Tribolium castaneum: one gene and its partner. The protein of the gene in region 1 purifies or fractionates together with the protein of each later gene. This does not show direct contact. Links are inferred from orthologs where the notes say so. Each region holds a gene or a part of one and is shown on either strand. Other genes may lie near its edges. The genes, in order: pix and protein LTO1 homolog.

Evidence for each region.
Region 2: the proteins of pix (region 1) and protein LTO1 homolog purify together in Homo sapiens (affinity purification with mass spectrometry; 4 studies listed by BioGRID and IntAct, with this or other methods). This does not show direct contact. The link is inferred for Tribolium castaneum from reciprocal best matches to the Homo sapiens genes ABCE1 and LTO1.

The regions. Positions count from the first base shown.
Region 1 is NC_087394.1:21,654,649-21,658,676, forward strand, and holds the end of pix (protein Pixie), read left to right. Parts: intron 1-2,019; coding exon 2,020-2,141; intron 2,142-2,198; coding exon 2,199-2,599; intron 2,600-2,653; coding exon 2,654-2,850; intron 2,851-2,903; coding exon 2,904-3,186; 3' UTR 3,187-3,292; downstream 3,293-4,028. UniProt on the Homo sapiens protein: Nucleoside-triphosphatase (NTPase) involved in ribosome recycling by mediating ribosome disassembly. Able to hydrolyze ATP, GTP, UTP and CTP. Splits ribosomes into free 60S subunits and tRNA- and mRNA-bound 40S subunits.
Region 2 is NC_087397.1:2,016,316-2,019,076, reverse strand, and holds protein LTO1 homolog, read left to right. Parts: upstream 1-1,770; coding exon 1,771-1,777; intron 1,778-1,827; coding exon 1,828-2,225; downstream 2,226-2,761. Other genes in the region: post-GPI attachment to proteins factor 2-like, read right to left, coding at 139-284, 332-550, 600-861, 907-1,083; probable methyltransferase-like protein 25, read left to right, coding at 2,228-2,761. UniProt on the Homo sapiens protein: The complex LTO1:YAE1 functions as a target specific adapter that probably recruits apo-ABCE1 to the cytosolic iron-sulfur protein assembly (CIA) complex machinery. May be required for biogenesis of the large ribosomal subunit and initiation of translation.

The DNA of each region.
Region 1 (4,028 bases):
GATTTGTGTCTGTATGTATCGTTTAGTAAATACAGGGAGCGACATAGTTAAACCAAATGTGGGACAAAATCAAGTAATTTGAAATGTATTTTTGTGTTTTTATCGAAATGTTAATGTTAATCAAGAATTGAAATTTGTTCTATTTTACTACAAAGTAAAATAAAAAAAGTTTATTATTATCAGAATTCGTCAATAAATTAAGCCAACATTATAATAAAAAAAGAGCAATAAGATGGTTACTGAAAAAAAATTAAACATTAAAAATGAAGAGTTTTACGAATTAATTATTGATAATTTTAAGTTAAAACAAGAGCCACTTTATTTCCAAAAGTCCACTACAAGGCTAAAGATTTTATTTTTCTCTTGTAATTTCACTTGTAATTGGTTGTTTATATCTTTAACACCCGTTACATTACTCCATTCATTTCGCCCTAGGGCACAATAAGCGGGCGTTGTGTTATGATAACGCCCGCTGTTATCAAGGCTAATAAGTAGTAAATAATTTTAAAGTAAAAATTATATCATTATATGAACCTCTAGCATAACTCAATGTTTATAATTTACAAATCTCGAGCCGAAGGCCCTTGGATTTGTCTGTTGCCTTTATGCCTTTAGTACAAAAATAACTACCTACACTACCAATTATTTTCTTTTTAACACTTATTGTTGATGGGAAATAATGTTGAATTAAATAAAGCACAGATCGCATATTAAAAGACTTTCTTCCATAGGAAATATAGACCCGGAGTAGTCTTCAAAAATAATAATTGGTGAAAGGTATAAGGCTAGAAATAACATAAATATGAAATATTATTTTGATTTTGTTATGCATATTTTCTTCTCAAATGACAATCCAGTATGAAAATAAAATGTCTTTTGACAAAAACTAAATTTAAGTGAGGTGGTTGTAATTCCTTGTTTGCAGTCTAGACCAAAAAAAATTGTTCTATGGTAGGTTGCTATTCAGAAAAATTGATCACAAAATTGAACTTAAAAACGAAAAAAATATAAAAAAATATAAAATATAAAATAAAACGATCACATTTTTACAGTACCGCTTAAAAACTATGACATACCTAATTTTAATTCTTACATTTCCGTATGTCCACACGACTGTTGTTCACTTGCACAATACAAATGTTCATTTAATTTTTGAAAAAACTAATCGAAGAATGTACAGTAGGTATACTATAAAATAGTAAAAAAAATTTTTTTCTCTTATAGGTAGTAATAATGTTGCTTATTCATAGATACGAGTAGACGTAGTACACCTTTCTTCTACAAGTGGTTACTATGGCACATTATTTCATTTAGTTGTGGTCTGTTTTTTAAGACAATTGTGTGTCAAAATCGGGTATAAAAGTAGATCATATAGCTTTAAAAAGCAAAATTGGTAAATTAGATTAGATTTCGTCAATTAAAGCCATACAACAAAAATTCTATAGAATAAAGTAGTCATTTGGTGATTTTTTTATTCTGACGGTGAAAAAATCTAACAAAAATTTCTCGATATACCTATAACAGAAAATTTTTGTTTCTAATAAGTTATGCTTAATAAATAAGTAGCAACCTATCTTCAAACAATTTTTCTTCACAAAGACTGCAATCACAGGATGATTACCACCTCAACTGAATTAATTTTTTGTCAAAAAAAAAGTTGATATTGGAATAATTAGAATTAGAGTTAGGTATGACAAAATTTCGGCGGTATTTGGTATTTTCAATTAAAAAAACCGCCGACCGACCTATATTTATATCATACCGCTTTGACTAATTTAATTTATTTAAATTTAATTCCGATTTTCAGCGGCTTTTTCATACGTCCGCATATAAAGCCGCCAGACGGCGGTCTTTTTAGTATTAACTAAGAGTACTGCCGGTGGTCGTTTAGCCAGTGCCTAGAATAAATTGTAATTTCCGCGCCATCTGTTAGTTTTGGAACACACTGTATCTTGTTTTCATTTATCCTTAAGGAATTTAAAAAGGTAATTAATTTTAACTTTTTCTTTTTTTCTTCAGATTTATAATTGTCGTGGAACACGATCTCAGCGTCTTAGATTATTTATCAGATTTCATTTGTTGTTTGTATGGTGTTCCTGGAGCGTATGGTGTGGTTACTATGCCATTCTCCGTTCGTGAAGGTAAAAAAAACTAAAAAAAAATGACTCCCAAACGTAATTATAATTTCTGTCTCAAAGGAATTAATATATTTTTGGACGGTTTTGTTCCAACCGAAAATCTGCGTTTCCGTGACGAATCTTTAGTGTTCAAAGTGGCTGAATCTGCCAATGAAGAGGAAATAAAACGTATGAACCATTACGAGTACCCTTCGATGACTAAAACCATGGGAAATTTCCAACTAAACGTGGTCAAAGGCCAATTTTCCGATTCCGAAATTTTGGTTTTACTCGGCGAAAACGGCACCGGTAAAACAACATTCATTCGAATGTTGGCCGGCAATTTACAAGCCGATGATGGTTCCGGGGAATTACCACAACTTCATATCAGTTACAAGCCGCAAAAGATCAGTCCGAAATCTCAGGGATTAGTCCGACAATTGTTACACGAGAAAATCAGGGACGCTTACATCCACCCACAGGTATTATTTTGTTGCGTTATTTTGTGTGGTCTTTGATACCATCTTGTAATTTAGTTTATGGCTGACGTCACTAAGCCGCTTAAAATCGACGATATTATCGACCAAGAGGTGCAAAATCTGTCTGGTGGTGAGTTGCAACGTGTGGCTCTAACTCTGTGTTTGGGCAAACCAGCTGATGTCTACCTTATCGACGAACCCAGTGCCTACTTAGATTCCGAGCAGCGTCTCATGGCTGCTAAAGTAATCAAAAGGTTTGCATTCACCAAAAAATGTAGTTTTTGGATGTGTGATTTTTTTCTTCTAGATTTATTTTGCATGCGAAGAAGACAGGTTTTGTGGTAGAACACGACTTCATCATGGCTACTTACCTGGCAGACCGCGTGATTGTATTTGAGGGTACGCCATCTGTTAAGACCACAGCCAACTCGCCACAGACTCTTCTAGCTGGAATGAACCGATTTTTGGAGTTGTTAGGGATTACATTTAGGCGGGATCCTAATAATTTTAGACCCAGAATAAACAAGCAAGAGTCTGTTAAGGATGTTGAGCAGAAACGGTCAGGACAGTATTTCTTTTTGGAGGATTAAATTTTGTTATGAAATATTGTGTATTATATGGCGCTCTTTACAGGTTTCTGTTTTTATAAACAAATATAATATATGTGGAAGGATAATAAACGGATTATTATCATTATGTGTTTGTGTTTACTTCTCATTAAAACTCTAATAACATGAATATTGATGTTGGACGTGTCATTCTAATCGGGTTTAATGAGTCACTGAAATAAAATTTAGACCTTGGTTGCACTTAAATACAGACTTAAATAATAAATGACACATTAATTTTTTATTTTATGTCAAAATCTTAACAAAAGTGGTAATTTTTGATTTCATCGATCGTGGATGTTACAATTTTTTTTAAAGGAATGAAATAGTTTTTGAAGAACTAAGCTCAAAGATACTATTTTTTATCAATTTTCGTTGATAAAGTTTTAGGCTGTCCCGTAAATTGAAATTTATCCTCCGACTAAAACGCTCTATCCCGGAAACTATAAACAATCGGAAAAAGCACGTTGAGTTATTTTGCATTCTTTTGAGCTTTACTATCAGCCCTTAAAATATGTTCCAAACTATCAAATTCACCTGGTATGTGCCAAAAAAATTTCCCAGACAAGCCCTAACGGGATTCATTTGTCAACAAATGTCCAGCCGGAAATAAATACTTACTAGATATTCTACATTGTGTTCCAAAATGGTTGTTCATCAAGTTGCCTATGGAATTCAAATTCGATATGCCGCTTCGTCCGTCTTGTATAAAGACGGTAATGGTTAAGTTAATAGAATTAATAATTGCGACTTAACGTTATGTATACATGCCCTAATACTAATGTTATGATAGCTGATATACAGCCTGTTATAGAATGGTTTAG
Region 2 (2,761 bases), on another chromosome or scaffold:
GCAGTCGTCTGCTGTAATGAGATTCAATAGAAAAAAAGTAAAAACAATATCATAATCACAACACTAGATGGAATGTAACACTTTACTTAGAAACTAAGAAAAAGAGAGTATAATTGACTAGCTCATAACAATCATGTTTCAATCAAACTTGTTATTTTTAGTTACATGTTGTAATCCTTTTGCAACGACTAAATGTTCGGTAGGAAAATCCAAAATCACGGTCACGTGAAACGCCATATTGGCCAACGCGATTATGTATTCGCAAAATGCAAACCAACTGAAAGCTTTACAAAAAAAATATTAATCCTGATTTAATCACACAGTAACTTACCCATAACGTGGCACAACAATCTATGTTTGAGAAAAAACGCAACAAGTCCCACCGTACTGACAAGTGACAGAATTAGGAGACTTTTTTTAATCAAAAGACCTCTTTGAACACGTTCGAGATCGTTATTCGTTTCCGCCACCCATCTTATACCCTTGATGCAGGCGAGCATGTGCATGAGGCTGCTCACCATAAAAATTATGAACAGTTTTTCATGAATTGCTACAATTATTTTTGATTATTAAAAAAACTGGCCACGGTGGAAACGTACGATAGTTTTCCCTGTTTGAAATGTACGTGACGCCGCACAGCGACCCAATTTCCAGAACATTCAGCCAGAAGGCGAAATTCAGCCACCACTTGGCCTTTTCGTGGTACTTCGAGGATGCATTGATGAGATTCAAGTGATAGGATTTGTGTACAGCGGCGATGATAAATCTTGGTCCAATGTGAAATGCAACGCTGATTCGCCACAAGTACCTCTGGGGGCTGATCCCCGTGATTGCGCTTATTGACGGTATGATATTATAAACCTGCAAAAATGCGTTTTTCCGGGGAATTCCCCAAGCTGAACTTACACGACAGTGGGTTTCGTGGATGTCGTCCGGTTGGAAAATGTAGGCAGTTACGAAACAGATAATAAGGGCTAAAAGGGGGCACGATACCGTCACTAAACAAAGGTGTTTGAAACTTAGCATGTAATGCACAATGAAGTTTTCCACGACTATATTTTCTTTGGTGGTGTTGGACTTCATTGTGGAAGAACAAGCGGAAGAGCTAATTCGCGGAGTCTAGAACTCGGAATGAGTTGAGCTTTTATTCATAAGGTTGGAAAGACATTCTAATTTTAGTTGTGGAAATAAATAAACACCGAGTTACCGAGGAAGAATTTTGACAAGTTGCCTGGTTTGAGGTTGGTTTTGGCGCCAACCGGGCAGGGTTTAAAGTTTTTCGTGCAACTCAACGGTACTGACTTTTTTAGACTTTTTGGTGATAATTTGCAATTGTGGCGTTTGAACGAACTTTATTTTAATGTTAGACGAACTCCATTTAGTGTTTTAAATGTGTAGTTAGATTTGGATAATAGGACTTGGATGTCATTTGGATCTACTTATCCTATACCCACGGGGACCTATTTTTTGTCTATTGCAGGGAAATTGTGCAAAATAAGTAAATATTTAGCTTAAAATGGGTTTTTAGGTGATTTTTGGTATGTTTAACGAGTGTTTTCCAGTTTAGTTTTTTACCATTGATTTTTTTGGAGGACTTGGTGGCCATGGTATTGCATACACAGCAGGGTTTAAAATCCTAACCTTTTTTTATGGTGCAATTTTTTGATTGAAACTTTGTGATTATTGTACCGATTTTTTGTAAATCTGCAATTATCATTTGTGTTACACACGTTTCGCAAGTTTTGTGCTTGATAAGCGTTATGCAAGACCATGACAGGTTAGTTTTTTGTCCACTTGAAAAAATGTTAATTTACATTTCCCCATCAGATGAGCCCGAAAAAGACATTAACGATGTTTTCTCCGACATTCTCCTGAGCGAGGACCGCATTTTCGAGCAAAGTTACAACCAAGGCTACGAATTAGGAAAAGGGGAAGAAAACATCGAAGCCTACCACTTGGGTTATCATCGTGGGGCCGAATTAGGTGCAGAAATCGGTTATTACACCAGTATTACGTCATATTATTTAAGCCATAAATCAGGTGACGAAAAAATCGTCAAAGAACTCGATACTTTGAAGGAAATGTTAAATTCTTTTCCCAGAGAAAATGACCCAAATGTTGATATATTAGAACTCATAGGCAAAATTCGAGCGAAATTCAAAAAAATCTGCGCGGTTTTGAAACTACAACCCTCTTTTCCCGAGTCTGACAAACTTTCGTTTTAATCATGTCTTCGGTGCACATTAGACAAACAATTGACAGTCTTTTGGCGTTTCTGGAACCATTGTTGGGTTTTGCCAACTGTCACATGGTAGATTTTTACACCCAGAATTCCTACAAAAAATTTGTATCTCCGGAAATTCAAAACGAAATCGAACAAATTGGTTACGAAAACACAATCAAGCGCATTTTCCTGAACGAGTTTGACGCGACCCCTCATTTGAAACAATTTGTCGAAGACAGCTCAAAATTTACGTTAAAAAACTGCCACGTGTGTCTCAATTTGGACTCTTTCACTCAAAAACTGCAATCGTGGGGCTGTGATACTTTAGATACGTTCAAACTCGAGATTTTCATGAATGCGAAAAAATCGCACGAGGTTGAGATTTTAAGCGCCGTGGCCGCGGCCCTATTCCGGGTCTCGCAAGCGTCTCATGTGGTGGATTTGGGCGATGGCAAGGGCTATCTAAGCTCGATGTTAGCCCTCCAACACCAAATCCCGGTCGTGGGAATAGACGCGTCCAACACTAACACTTGTGGG